2 linked regions of the Xenopus tropicalis genome follow. The protein of the gene in region 1 purifies or fractionates together with the protein of each later gene. This does not show direct contact. Links are inferred from orthologs where the notes say so. Each region holds a gene or a part of one and is shown in the gene's direction. Other genes may lie near its edges.

Region 1 (8,805 bases):
GCGGGTGCTGGGGAGAGCAGGGAGAGCCACAGGAAATGCCTCTGGAAGCGCCTCAGGAAGCACGGGGAGCTGGAGGATGGTAGGGAGGATGATCGTAGGGGGGCTGGAGGATGTTGGGGACGACGCTGGGGGAACCTGGAGGATGGTAAGGGGGGCTGGAGGATGTTGGGGAGGACGCTGGGGGAAGCTGGATGATGGTAGGTGGGGCTGGAGTATGCTGGGGAGGATGCTGGAGGATGTTGGGGAGGACGCTGGGGGGAAGCTGGAGGATGGTAAGGAGGGCTGGAGGATGCCCAGAAAATTCTGTTCTGAGGGGCCCCGTGATTTCTGATGGCAGCCCTGTATGTGGTGTTAATGGTAAACAATAAAAATGAATACAGCTAGAAATGCCACATTTTATTACTAAAATTACTGCACCAGCCGGTTCAGCATCTTCAGCATCTCTGTAACAGAAATGATCCAGGCCTTCAATGTTGTCGAAAAAACTTACCATCTTGGATTCAGTTAGGAGTGTCAGTGGCACTGCACATGCTCAGTTTGGTCAGGGCAGCTGTTGAGAGGGCAAGCCAGGAGCATTTTTAGACCTGTGACAGCTTTTGCGATGCCACTCCCGCTGTGTTTAGATTTACAGTGCTGGAGGGGGTCCAGGTGGGGGCTGCATCGCTAATGTAGTTAGTGCAATTGCACTCCCTGCACTATATGAGCCGAATGTTCAGTTTCAATTATATTAATAATATTAATTATAAAGAAATATATTTAAATGTATAATGGGCAGATAATTAATGGCCTGATATGAATACTAACTTTCTATTACTTTTTTGCATGCTTAAAATAAAATAACCATAAGGTTTTTGCTACACTAGAGCTAAATATTTTACAATTAAAATTGTAAAGAGGTCTATAAGTTGAATTTAGTTTGAACAGTCTTTCACATTGTGGGAAAATGGCCTGCATTGCTAATGAAGGGATATACCAAGGAGCTTTGGTATTAAAACTGGGATTAGCTCCTTATAATCCTCTGGAGCAGAGAAAGAGAGGCACGGGGGTGAGACAGGCTGTTTATTACCGGATTAATAAATGTTTGTCTAATGTTTTGGCTCATACAGTGGGTAGACAAAAAACAAGGCACAGGCCCTCCTTTGGCTGCACACGTGTCACTGCTCAACCTGGTACATTTTGGCTCAAAAAAAAACCCCATCAAAAACCTATTACTGTGCTGAGGCCTCATTCACTACTGCAATTTCCTGCTCGTAAGGTTTTGCAATGGCAGTTTGAACCACCTCCTGCTTAAGTGAATATGAGCCTCAGGCAGTGGTTTGTGGTACTCTTCAGATGGCCAAGTGAGCTGGGTTTAGAAGTCTTACATGTCTCACAGACCTTAGTGCTGGAAGATCAGGACCTTCTCTGCTATAATAACTACACCATTCTAGATTATCATTCTGTTCTACTGGGTTTGAAGAGGAGCATGGAGGTCTGCTACCCAAGAGTTTGCATTACTAAGGCCATTATGCAATGGTGTGCTAGAAAATCATGTATTATCTTATTTGCTTTTTTAACAATAGACAATAGGAAATAACAGTGACTTTATAAATACCTGGAGTCTGTGAGAAAATAAAGAGAAGAAAGGAAAGGTAATAGGGCCTAAGAAAGAGGAAAGTATAACGTAAACAAAAGTTAAATCAAAGGTTCCAAGTAACAGCAGTGTAAAGGTGCCCATACACTATAAGATCCGCTCGCTTGGCGATGTCGCCAAGCGAGCAGATCTTCACCCGATATCCCCACCTACGGGTGGGCGATATCGGGTAGCAAGCTGCTTTAAAAAAAAATAATCCGATCGTTTGGCCCTGGGGCCAAACAGTCGGATTACATTTGAGCTTATGGGGCAGTCGGTTCGGGGACCGCATCAACGAGCCGATGCGGTCCCCGATCCGACCGGATTTTCTAACCTGGCCGATCGAGATCTGGCCAATTTTAGGCCAGATATCGGTCGGCCAGGCAGCCCTGTTCTGCCCATACATGGGCCGATTAGCTGCCGAATCGGCAGCTATAGTCGGCCCGTGTATGGGCACCTTAAAGCTGCAATGAATACAGACTGAGATTCCCATGAGGTCCCTTTAATATAGGGAAATAAGATATTCTAATGGCTAGCAGCTGTGGGAGAGTGCAACAATCCTATCAGTATTGATAATTCCATAGGGTCTGGCTAGGGTTGTGAGAAAAATACCAGCCTATATGTAGCCCACTTTTTAAACGCTTGTGGCACTACCTGCTGTTTTACTTTGGCGCTACAGGAGTCCTGAGCCCCCGCTTACTATGGGGGTTTACAGGGATTTCTCCCTTTAATGGCGTGCCTCCACCCAGGGATAGTCTTGTGGAACTGTAATCCACCCCCTGGGAAACGAATAGGATGCTATGCCCCTCTTGGGACCCCCGTACTCCTGGTGTAATGTACCCCACCCTGGGGTCGTTCCTTACCAGCTTGGTAGTGGTCCTCTGGGCTTGATAGATATTCCGACACAGTAGTACTGTATATGTGAAATAGATGTAAAGGTTTATTCAGGCAGACACCTCTCCAGGAGTGGCATATCATTTATACACATTGCAGGGCATATCTCCTTACTTCTTATTGAGAACCTTTTCCTGTTGGACTACCCCACGGTACTTTCAGCAGTGCTCCCCTCGGTACTCTCGGCAGAGACACTCCATCCTAGAGTTCTCCCGGTACTCACGCTAGGACGTTACACCACAGGGACCCACACACCGGTACTCTCGCTAGGCACCCTCAGATCCGGCCTCCTGGACTAGCGGTGACTTGATCCACCTACCTAGCCACTTAGTGCCCTGCACTCCAGCAGATGTAATACTGGGGGATCTTAATCCCACTACCACTCCTGGAGGGGCAATATCCGCCCATTCTAACTTGGTGTCCTACATGACACTCCTAGAATGTCCTATTACTTGAACTACTATCTATTAACTGGGGACTGGTAGCTCTACTACCCAGGCCTAAGATGGCTGGCAGCACATGGCTGCAACACTTTATATGGGCCTATGTACCACCCTGTGGCCATAACCCGAACTACAGGTATACTCCCTGTTAACTATTTAGAACCCAGTCATCCTAGTGTCCCTGTTAACTAGCACCACCCGGTGGCCTGTCCTAGGGGTGTCTGTCCTAAGGGCCCATTTTTGGTAAACCCCTACATATATATTTATATTTTTTTCCCCTATGGGATCAAGCATCATTTTTACCAGGGCTGTGGAGTCGGTAGATAAATTCTCCGACTCCGACTCCTCAGTTTCTGATACTTCCGACTCCGACTCCTCTGTTTTTAATATGCTAATGTATTTTATACATTCATACAGTCAATGAAAAGCATGCTTCATGGTCACTTAACGTGTTCGTTTATGCACCGCGTGCATTGGGCTTATATAGCAGAGAAGTAATTAATTATAACTGTTTGTAAATTGGGACATTTAAACTTGCTTTACTTTTTTTTTTATTCCCATTTAAATTTAGTAGGAGTCGGAGTCGGTTCATTTTTTGCCGACTCCGTCTCCGACTCCACAGTCCTGATTTTTACTGACCAGGCCGGTAAATCCACGTGGCAATCCCAGGACGGGGCTATAGCAAAACTTTGGAGTTGGGAAGAAATATATATACCAAGGTTCCCAGATTTCCCTAAATTTCTTGTCTGTCTATAAGTATGCTGGTCAGCTTTAATATTGTTTTTAATGTTCTAGCACCAAGTCAAACTAGAGCTGAATGGTAGTACACAATAATCTGCTCTGCAATCAAAGGGCAATTTAGGCATTGGGCTCAAAGGCCTCTTTCCCTAATACATTACAGTCATACGAGACAGATAAATTGGGCAGGTTTTACAAATTGTTCGACACCCATGGAAGCACTTTGCCCCACCCCCCGTGACGTCACGTCTGAAAAAAAAAAAAAAGAACTCGCAGCTCCGTTGCCGCGGTGATACTTTCCAAGAAGTGGGCGGGCCGGCATTAAGGGGAAGTGGCGTTAACTAGCTACTGACGACAGAGGGAGCTGAAAAATGGCGGACGGTGGCCGGTCGTATGTCGGTAAGATTGTATAAGCGAGTGACTATTGACAGTAGGGACTAGTTATTCGTGAGCAGAGTATTTATGTTTGTGGGGGAGGTGGTTCCTACACATGTGCCCCGTTTGTTTAGCTGCTGGCGATTAGCTGGGCCCTTGTTGGCCATACATGTTTTTCTAGCGACCTCGCTTCTAGAGAACAGATAATGTGTTATATGATAAATATATAGTATATATGTGGCCTGTAACTGGGAGGCAGTATCCTGAGTGCTTATTCGTAACAAGCAGCTTCTGTATGAGTCCGGAATAATCCCCGTTAACACATTCCTATGGCAGTGGGCGAGTGTCGCTTTGTTTTGGCCCCCCACCTCGTGTAATGAAGCCCACGTGTTGCTTTCTCAAGGGCCCCCTATGTTAAGGACACGAATATATATCCCCGTCCAAATTTGATATATGGGTAAGGGTCTGGCCAGACCTGAAGAAATCACACTGACACGAACAGGTTCAGTAGCAAAACGTCTTCTTTTCTGATTGATCTCAGGGTAAAGGTATTTAAGCTCAGGAAAGAAGGGGGGAAGGTGGGGTGTCTTGCTTGCAAAAGCTGCTTGTCAGCTAGATATGAGAAAGGCAACATCTGTAGAAGCTAAGGGGAAAAATATAGCCCCCTCTCTTAGTAAATTGTGGTTTGGCCTTCTTTGAGTTCTATGCAGCGCTGATCTGGCATTTGAAGAGGTACTTTCTTGTTTCTTGAGAAGTTGAAGCTTTGGTTGGTTGTTCTGCAAGAGGTGGGTTGCAATTGCGAGATATGAGACACTGATTTCTGTGCAACCTAGCTGAGCAAGGAAATGGAAACACTACACAGACATAAATGAGACATATTACAGACATGGTATATATTATATATTACAGAGGAGGTTAATTGTCGCCCCCCCATATTTGCCAGCTGAACCTCAAACATGTCCCCTTGAACTTTATGGGAAGAGAGACACACAAATCCAAGGAAATCTAAAATACATGTTATCAATACTCAAGTTGATATCCGTATATTAAGAGAAGCTTTTTACTGTAATTGTTTTCTCTATTATCCTCTTATGTTGCATATGGAACCTAAATTTACAGTTCAATAGTAGTTCATATTGTCACTTGTAGTGTAGTGTAGGGGCCCTGATGGGAACATACCCCCATATGATCTGTCATTTCAGCTCCTGCAAAATCAACATATTTACATCCTTTATGTGGGATAATGCTACAAAAAAGTACACTCACCCCAGAAAGTCGTATATTTTTGGAAAGTACACATTGCCCCGAATCTCTAATGGGTACACATTTCTTTTTACTCCAAAGTACCTAGCCGCAAAGCTTTCCTGTTTGCCGATTTTTAATGACATTTCATAAAATTGCCTAAAAATCTTGCAATTTGCCACATTTATCTCACACAATTTCTTGCATACAAAGGCAAATCACCACAAATAGGAACACCCAAGGTCTACTGAACAGTTTGATGCCCAATATGCATAGTTATACCAAAGTCTGTGGTGTGTACTGACCCCAAAATGAAAATAACGTATATGGATTTCTCACCTGCCAACTCAGCTTTTACACAGAGCCCCCTGACAGCGTATTATGTGCCGTAACCCCCCTTACTATACAGGCACCCCCAGAAAACTATATATTTTTGGAGAGTACACATTCTGATGAATTTAAAGTTATTTTTCTACACCAAAGTTACACGTGGCAAAGCTATGCTAAAAACAGATCAAGAATACTAATACAGGGATAAAAATGCAATAAAACCACAAAAATTGTGCAAATTAGTGAAACAACAAAATAAGTCACACAACAGCATAATTAGTGGTCAGAATATCTTATCTAATAGTCACGCTGTTATAATAAACAGTTTTTAAGGAAAAGAAACTAAAAACAAAGTGGTAAAAAAAAAAGTGTTTGTGTATACATGTGTGTACATGTGTAAAAGTTGTGTGACAGTGTGTAAATGTGTATATAAGTGTATATGTGTGCAAAACAAAAATAAACTGCAAAATTGTGTGTAAGTGTGTGTAAATGCAAAAAAAAAAAATCACCCTTACCTGTCTTGAAGCTTGCCTGGTCCTGCAGTCCTGTCCTCCATGTCGCTTGAAGTCAGTGGGCCGGCGCTGGGGGTGGGGGTGCAGGAAGTGGAAACAAGCAGCAGACGTGATGCGATCGCGTCGCAGGGCCGACATGACAGCCCCCCTGGCTCGTTGCCCAGGGGGCTGTCATCGCTAAAAGCTCTCTGCAGAAGTGGCATAGAAGTATCTTTATCTGCCAAACGACGTACGGCGCACGTCGTTGGCAGATAAAGCCATTTACTGCAACGCCGTACGTCGTTAGCAGTTAAAGGGTTAAAGGTTATTTGTAAATGTAGTTACTATTTAAAGCGGCGTTTGCTTAATTCTTGCAAAGACTCCTCCAGCAAGACAGGTATACCAATCTGCTCTTGTGTAACATTGTTTCAAAAGTCAGGAGCCACCAGGGTAGAAAGTAGAAAAGAGCAATTATATATACAAATAATGTAAAAGACATTCCAAATTTGTACTTAATGTATATTGCAATTTGCTTGGACTTATGTTTTGTTAGGCAAGAAAATATTTTTGGGGTTGACATGTCCTTTAATGGGTAGAAATGATTACTGTTACAATAGACTGCTCTGCAAAGTTAGATTGTGAAATGTTAAAGAATGAAATGCTAAAGCAATTTTTCCCAAGGGGCATAAACTAAGTTGGTAAATTACCTTTACAACCCAAAAATTGGTTATGTACTTTGTTGAAATGATGCTATCCTATAGTAAGAGTTAATCTCTCTATATTCAGGGTTATTGGAGTGATCCACCCTAAACAGGTTTAACAGTCTCTGACCTAAATCAAAGAATTGCACAGCGATAGACTATGGCTATAACACACATTTACCTGCTTTGCTTGTGAGTATCACTAACCTTGATAACTCGAACACAATTGTATATGAATAGATGAGCCGATGTGACTTGTTCCCTTCAGAGCTGCCCCTAGCACCCCGAATATAGAGCATATATATTCATCGCACAGCTCTGGACCCCACATACTTTTTAATACATAGCCCTTGTGTCATTGCTTACCTCAGACATCCTGTTAATACTCATTAGACTTCAGAAGGCTACTAAATCACAGGAAAAATACAAAATAGTGGCCTTGAGTTAGTACAGGGACACTAAAGTAAATATGCCCTGTATAACTCCCTAAATAAGCTGCTTTGGTGAAATTTACTGTGAGCACTGTGCAGTGCTTACACATGCAGTGGGCACCTTGACTGCCCCTCTCTGCAGGAATGAATACACTCTACATTGTAATATCGTGTATTAACTCATTTGAGAGTTAATGTGGCAGCTGCCATATTGCCATTGTGTTTTACAAACAGAGCCGCAGTCTGTTATGTTTGCAGAAACTTTTGTTTATTCAGTGGCTCTTAAAGGCAGTGTTATACCTTTCTTTATGCTTTTAAGGGCCGTGACAGACAGGGAGATTAGTCGCCGCATGACAAATCTCCCTTGTTGCGGGCGACTAATCTCCCCAAAATTCCATCCCACCGGCTAGAATGTAAATCGCTGTTGGGATGGCATACGCGGATTGGCGATTTGCCGAAATCGCCAAAGTTGCCTTGAGAGGAAACTTCAGCGATTTTGGCAAATCGCCAATCCGTGTGCCATCCCACAGGTGATTTATATTCTAGCCGGTGGAATGGCATTTTGGGGAGATTAGTCGCACAGCGACTAATCTCCCTGTCTGTCACGGCCATTACAGTTATTTTTAGTATTCATTGCTTTATTTAATTTTACATGCACAGACCAGTTGATCTAGAAGCATTTGGCGTGAATCACCTAGCAGAAATGGCAATTGGCAGAAAAGAGGATGACTGTAAATAGAAGTTGTTTAAATGATGTCTAAACTCTTAGTAGCAGGGTGTTTAGCTAGAATGCTTGGATTGACTGTAGACGCACTGCAGCTAATCTGATAATTCTGCTTTTTTTGGACCAGTAGTACCACAAAATAAAATTGATTTACAAGCAATCCCTCCCCTTTTTGTATTGTCTTTGAAAAGACATAGCCCAATTCAGTTCAGTTACCACAAGCCTGTTTTCAGTGTTATATGTTTATTAAAGCTAAATTATAAAATTGATTATCTGAAATGCTTGAGTTTGTATAGTTAGCAAATATTCAGAGGCTCCAGCAGTAATAATCTGGTGCAATAAGGCAATAATTGATGATTGAAATAATCAAGTGGGCTGAATGATTAGTAACTGACCTATGGGAACCATGGCACATTAAGTAGTTTTCTTCAAGCAGGTTACTTGCTGTACCAGAACAACCACCCTGTAAAAATGAGGTGTGAATCACTGTGGGAATTTTCCAGTATGGGTATGAAAATTTCTTTCCTTTTATAATTTTGTCACTGGTAAGTTTTTATACTGCAGGTTTATAAACAAGATTTCTCTCACGTCTAGGGGGACACAGGGACCATGGGGTAAAGGGTCCCTCCCATCAGGAGGCAGGACACTGATGACATCAGAACTGAAGACCCTCCTACTCACCCTTTATCCCCTGCTGCCTCTGAAAGGCGCCAGTTTTTTCAGTGTCCTTCATACAGGAGGTTGGACTGGCCTTATAAGGCCCAACTGGAATTCTTCGGTCGGTAGTTAGTACTGACACCCGGGGTGCAGCTTTGTCAGACCTA
Region 2 (6,804 bases), about 85 Mb from region 1:
GATGCATACATACTTAAATGTGTAATGGGGGCTATCAAATTAGAACAAGTGTTACTTATGTAGCAGAAGCTAGCTTACTAACCTGTAAAAAAAAAAAAATGGACTTTGGAAATATTGGCTGGCAGAGAGCTGGCTTTTGCTACAATGCCAAAAACAGAAAATAAATCAGGTACATTCCAAAACAAAACCTGTTTTTAGGCCAGTTTAAATATCCTATTTACTGTGTTTTTCACCTTTTATTTGTAGGAGCTTAACCTCTCTTTTTGTGAAATTAAACGAGATGCAGCAGTGGTCTTAGCAGAATCTGTGGAAGATAGGTCTGAATTACAGAAACTGGATTTAAATGGTATGAGCTGCAGCCACAGTGCATTGAAAATAAGAATTTTAAATTTCTGTACAAATGTAGATTTTTGTTTTTGTTTTAATAAGAGTTAAATGTGTTCTGCGATTATAAAGTTGATTATAACGGTTGATTTAGGCACAAACAGTGAAAGCAGTATGCCAAGCGCACACATGCTGGAGCAGTGTGTAGTGTGTATAGCTACATCATATATGTGGGTTGTAAGAATTTGATTTAATAAGCTACTCTTTGGTTTTTATTGCAGGAAATTGTCTTGGTGAGGGGGGCTGTGAGCAGGTGCAGGAAATCCTGGAAGGCATTAGCATGGCTAACATATTAGGCTCTTTAAGGTATAGTATGCTGCATATATATGCTTCTCAACCTCAACTACCTTCTCTACTGAGGTATTGTGTGTGTGTGTGTGTGTGTGTGTGTGTGTATGTATGTATGGATAGATAAATATATCTAGTGTAGTCATAATTAAGGTCCCTTGCAATGCTTGCAATGGAAAGCAATATATGACAGTTTTTCTGTGTTTTAAAACATGGTAGTCTATGGAATTGTGATACCCTAAGTACAGAAAACTGCAAAGATCTAATTTATTGTATAAATATTTACATGGGAAGTTTTGTCCCATCGGGATAATTTCATCTCTTTAAAATAAGCATGGGTATAAAAAAAATTGGTCTAGCATTTGTATAACATCTTTACTTTGCTGTAGTGATGATGAGGGGGATGAAGATGAGGATGAAGATGAAGTAGATGATGATGACGACGATGATGACGACGACGATGATGAAGATGATGAAGAGGACGTGGAGGAGGAGGAAGAGGAGGAAGATGTAGATGATAATGAAAACAGAACAAAGCCTAATAAAATTTCATCACATGTAAGTATGAAAGTGTCTACAGCATAATTGCGGGCATGCTTGAAGGTGTCTGTGCAGGGATGAGCATCCTTTAGGAAGGATTCAGTGCAGCTAAACACTGCAGACCACTATTAATGTTTTGTAGCTGTTTGGCTGCCTTGACAATAGATCTTTACAAGCGCTGGCACATGGGGCATTTTGTCACCTGTGGAAATTCACGCCATACTGTAGGCGACAAATACCTATCTATGGCTGCCTATTCAGATTACATTTGTAAAATAATCCTGTTCCACATTAAGGGGCAGATGTATAAAAATATAAGTTTAGAGATTAATACTAAAAATTAAATTAAAAACTGACCCACACTCTATTTATTCCTATGGAATTTTTAGAAGTGTATTTATCAGTGGGTGAAAATTTTAATTCACCAATTGTTAAATACACTTCTTAAAATCCCATAGGAATAAATAGAAGTGGGTGAGTTCTATTCACAGTTCTAAACTCACATTTTGATAAATCTGTCCCTAAGTGTTAAATGTTTTCCATATGATGTTTCGATAGGCTAACAAGGAATTTTGTTTTATTATAGGTTAAAGATTCCACCCCTATATTTTCTTTTAGTTGCAGTTTCTCTTGTTTTGTGCAATGTTTTAGCTTCAGATTGGGGAACTTCAGTTACCTGAAGTCTGCAGCACCCCTTTAAATTTAAGGTGGGCATACACTGTAAGATCCACTTGTTTGGCAAGGTCACACCTACGGGTGGGCGATATAGGGCTAATTTGATCATTTGGCACCACATTTCTTTTAACATTGGGCAATATTAATTGGTCTCAATGCACAACAGAGAAGTTAGTGCTGCACACCATATTTACTTTTTGTTACTTTAGGTATACATGCAAGTTCTCAAGGCCATGTTTCATAATCTTGGGTGCCCTGATGTAGCTGCACTACAGCTCCAAACATGCTTTTACCTTGATATTAGTTTGGCTTCTGTGAATTGTAGTACATCATCATCTGGGGATCCAAGCTTAAGAACAGGGCTCTAGGCTTGTGTAACTTATTTTTCTTTTCTAAACCCATGGCTGACTTTACCTTGACACTGAGTAAGATTGCACAGTATCATGATGGTCCTCTTTTAATTTGCACTGGGTTGTTGTGAAGTTAGTGCACACACTATGATCAGCCTTGTATGTATCTACCACAACTATCATTCCATGCCGTAGGGAGTATTTTTATGCTTTGCCTTCTGCCCTCATTTGCCATTTAGCCTTAGGGAATGCTTCTTATGACTTCCTCTTGGTGGGAGAATTGTAGTTGTAGCAGTAGGCAACAAACATCCCTTTGCTGTGGCAGTTACCTATACTTTGTATCAAGTTTTAGTTCTTTTATGTTGGCAGTTACCTGTAAGTGCTTTCAGGAATAGGTGTGAATCTTAAAATTTATAGATTATCTACCGTGTTTTTTTTTTTTTTTTAAAGGTATCCACACCAGCCGCTCCACCTAAACTTCCAGTTGATGCATCCACCTTTCTTAGCTTTCCCTCTCCTGAGAAGCTTGTGCGCATGGGTCCTAAACGTTCTACAATGATAATGCAGCAGGTTGGTGTTTTCATTATCCAATATGGTTAATTGGTTATCAGAATATCAAGAAGAAGAAATGTTCATGCCATGTTCAATTCAACCATCCACGCATTCTTTATTTCCTCCTGGTCAGCAACAATGTATTCATTATTTATCATAAGCATACAACATCAATTCCCATACCCCCTAGCTCAATATATATGCTTTGTTGTCAATGAGTTAATTATAATGCCAAATGTGCATTATCCATAGGTTGAGCATTAGACTGGATGCCTAGGGCTTATACTGTTGTATTATTGTATTGTAAAGCACGAATCTCTACCATCCTTTCAGCAGCGTGCCCAACACTTGTAACTGGCACTCTATTGAAGCCATAGTACCGTGCTTACTCATGAGAGATTCATCAATGTCTTGAGCTGCTTGTTGTGCCTGAGACGTGTTTAATTCAAAATAAATTATTTGGTAAATCCAAGGATCCTGTCATTTCCTGTATCCACTCATATTACCAAGCACATATAGAATAAAGATGACCATTTAGAGTTTACCGCACTTCTAATTGTAGGTTAACTATAATTTTGCTAAACAAATACAAACTAGAATGCTGGCATAACTTCTTTCTTTTTCACAACTTCTTTGTAATTGTGTTATCTCCCTTATCTTTAGATCGATGTTGCAGATACGGAAAAGGTGGTCCAAACGTTCATCCAGGTCTCCTCTGTGTACAGGGATGACAGTGAAGTAAAGGCGGCTGTTGAAGAAACTATTGGTGTGTGCTAGTTACTGCCATTTCTTTTGTCTCCTTTGTGCTCCGACCTGTGTAAGCATATTCTAACGGTCTCTCTTAACTGTTCTAGATGGTCTAATGAAGAAGGCTTTTGAAAGCCGAGGTTTCCAAGAAAATCTGTTTATCACTAGTCTATTGGTGCATATGGGACTTCTCAAGGTATTGTATGAATATTTTTGTGTGGTGTTAATTATTAGTCTGGTCTTGTTAATTAGCCTTCCCCTTTAGAGTAGAAGGGGACACGGTCTATTTGCCAGTGTGACCTGTGTATTTGTATTTTATGTTTAATATATATTTTTTATTTCTTGTCTTTCCTCATGCTCAGAGTGAAGACAAAATTAAAACGGTACAGCACTTAAATGGCCCCTTGCTAACTCTGAATCACATGGTACAACAGAATTACTTCCCAAAATCTCTTGTTCCTATACTTCTGGCTTTCATCTCAAAGTAAGTACATAAAACACATTATTTAATTTTTTTTCTCATTCCTTCATGTATTTCAGCTTGGTAGCTACTTCAGTTACCCAGAGGCATGAGTTACAATGCTTTAGAGCAGTGATTCACAGCATTTCCCTTACGTGCAACATGTTGCTTGCCATTCCTTTTGACTTTGCTTTTTGTGGCCTCAAATCTGGTGTTAATGTTAAAATTCCAGGTTTAAAGACACTAGTTTACTCAGTCTACATGGGCTACCAAACATCCAATTGCAGGATTTATTTGGCAACACCCTGGAAATTTTTTAATGTTTGTGTGGCTTCCATACATTTTATACAGAGTTTGGCTCACAGGTAAAAGGAGTTGGGGAGCCCTGCTTTAGAGTATGTTAGTAAGATTGAAAACAATATGTCCTTAAGATCAGGATACAGGCAGGCAGAGCAGCCCTAGTCCTAGATATATGGACCACTTAAAGGGGATGTTCAGCATAGTCTGAATTTGAGGAGCCCCTGTAATTCATCTTTATTATTTAGAATGTTTAGTTTTGAAGCTACAGACCAGAATCAGTGCCGCTAAAACTGTCTGTGCTTTGCTCTATGCTCTCTTTGGAAGGGATCGCCAACACGAACTTGCATTCTTCCATAACAGGAAGTTGGCACCACTGAACTTGCTACTCATGCCTTCCCTCTCCTGCTTCATTTACATTTCTGATTGAGCCAGCCAGTGGTATCAAAGATGTGCCAATGATGCAGGAGAGGGAGTGCCCTCATATTATGTAAGTCTAGTGAATATTAATTTTTAATAGTTGACTGAAACAAAGTTGGCCTCCCCCACTTTTCTATAAAATACCCAGTTTACAGTATTGTTGTTCTTGAGTTGATTGGCTTTTTTGCAAAAGGGGAATTATGGACATTATGGCTGTCATTGTTACACACTACATGGACACTACACAGACTTCATAACTGAACTCTCCGGACCAGATGAATGCACTGTCCATAAATTCCACCTGCTACTACTGTTTGCAGTGTTCAGTAAAAAATCAAGCGCTGACAATTATGTCTACTGTGGCCCCAATAACGCTACACGTGTTTTGTACTCGGGGTGTAAGAATCACGCCTGTTTATCCTTGATATATGTTAATATAGGTCTGCTCAGCTCAGCTTTGTGGGACTTCAATACAATATTATAACCTTACCCAAGACAAAATATTATAACCCTTTATATATGATGTTTTCCATTTCTTGGATATGTATGCAGTGAGAGAAATGTCTGTGTTTATATGCTCCCAGTTCCTGTTCCTTAGACTTTAAGGTACTGTTAATATACAGCTATGAGTGCTTGTGGTTACTTGGTGCTAATATACATCTTAAGTGCCAATATTTATATAATATATACAGGGTATATTCTATACTGCCCTGAGCCTTTTACAAAACACATCTAACCAAATGTAATGAACGTTCTCTAACAAATATTAACAGAACAGTCGATTGCTTTACTTTACGAATAATTTGATCTCTCTCCTTGTCATTTCAGGCCCAACCGTGTCCTGGAAAATAACGCCAGTGCCAGACACACATTGCTGCACAACCTTCATAATCTGTAACCTGCTTTGCTTCAACTTGGACTAAACTTTACCCAGCCCACAAAACATAAAAGCTCTTCATAGCAGGTTATATATGAGCAAGGGTTTATTAGGCATATTGCTGGGGAATAAGTTCCTTCTGGTCTTACCTACAAGGGGCCCCATTCCAGTCTTTTTGTTTACATTTGAAAAGAACTGTTCACCTCTCAATACCTTGATGATCCAGAGGCCCAGATTTGGACTCCAGATGAGCATTTTTTATAGGTTCATTGAGTGTTGTGTAACTGAATAATGTTACATCATTGGACAGTTCTCATATTCTCATTGAGTGGCGCATCTGTGTTTAATGCCAAATTATTGGATAATACTTTGTAAATTGAGTTTAGGGACAGTAAAAGTACTGTATCTTTATCATAAGCGATTGTACATGTATACACTGTATTCCTTCCTTAACGAGAGAAGCTGTAATGCATATCGGGTGCATATTTAGCCCTTGTAATTCCTGAAACAGTCTACTCCTGTTCCTGCCATAACTTTAGCCTGTTTGTCTGGCAGAGCTTGGCTTTAAGCTAAGGGAACTATCATGCATAGTACTCAAAGGGTAACAGATTACTCTTACATTTGTATACACTGCAAATCATATTCATGTTTTATTTAAATTACCTGGAGCAGATACTTGTGTTTTGGAAATACTTGTGCAGTTATTACTTGGCACAATAGAATTGCATTCAGTGATTTAATTACGCTCACTCCTTAGTCTGCAATTGTTCTACAGGAAGAATGTACCATAGGCCTTGCAGATGCCATTCATACCTAATGTGCCAGTACCCTGATGGCTGTAAGGTATTGCTGCTGTTCCTGTATAGTTTTCTATGTAGTCCTCTTTGGTGCCTACTCAATGGACATTTGAAATTGTTTTAGTCTTTATAGCTTTTAGAGTAGATTTGGGAGCAATTGTGCAAAAGGAAAAAAAAAATATGTAGCATTAATGTCCTTTAATGGCTGAGTAGAAAAAGAGTGTAAGCCTTTGGGTATCTGTCATCAAACAGCATCCTACCGTGCTTCCGCCAGCTGATTGCATCTACACGTGGGGGCGGCTTGCTCTGCTTTTTATAATCAGTTATTAAAGATTTCCTCTCTATACCAACACTGCTGGCAAGAGTGTTGGAGTTTTTTTTTTTTTTGTTTTTTTTTAAGACGCAAAATGTCCCCAG

Evidence for each region.
Region 2: the proteins of nxf1 (region 1) and rangap1 purify together in Homo sapiens (co-immunoprecipitation; 3 studies listed by BioGRID and IntAct, with this or other methods). This does not show direct contact. The link is inferred for Xenopus tropicalis from reciprocal best matches to the Homo sapiens genes NXF1 and RANGAP1.

Annotation. Positions count from the first base shown.
Region 1 is NC_030680.2:36,527,625-36,536,429, reverse strand, and holds the start of nxf1 (nuclear RNA export factor 1), read left to right. Parts: upstream 1-4,028; 5' UTR 4,029-4,058; coding exon 4,059-4,086; intron 4,087-4,500; exon of another isoform or gene 4,501-4,515; coding exon of another isoform or gene 4,516-4,564; intron 4,565-6,921; exon of another isoform or gene 6,922-7,018; intron 7,019-8,805.
Region 2 is NC_030680.2:121,800,245-121,807,048, reverse strand, and holds part of rangap1 (ran GTPase-activating protein 1), read left to right. Parts: intron 1-246; coding exon 247-346; intron 347-605; coding exon 606-690; intron 691-1,061; coding exon 1,062-1,230; intron 1,231-2,687; coding exon 2,688-2,807; intron 2,808-3,452; coding exon 3,453-3,555; intron 3,556-3,643; coding exon 3,644-3,732; intron 3,733-3,898; coding exon 3,899-4,020; intron 4,021-5,541; coding exon 5,542-5,611; 3' UTR 5,612-6,804. UniProt on the Homo sapiens protein: GTPase activator for RAN. Converts cytoplasmic GTP-bound RAN to GDP-bound RAN, which is essential for RAN-mediated nuclear import and export. Mediates dissociation of cargo from nuclear export complexes containing XPO1, RAN and RANBP2 after nuclear export.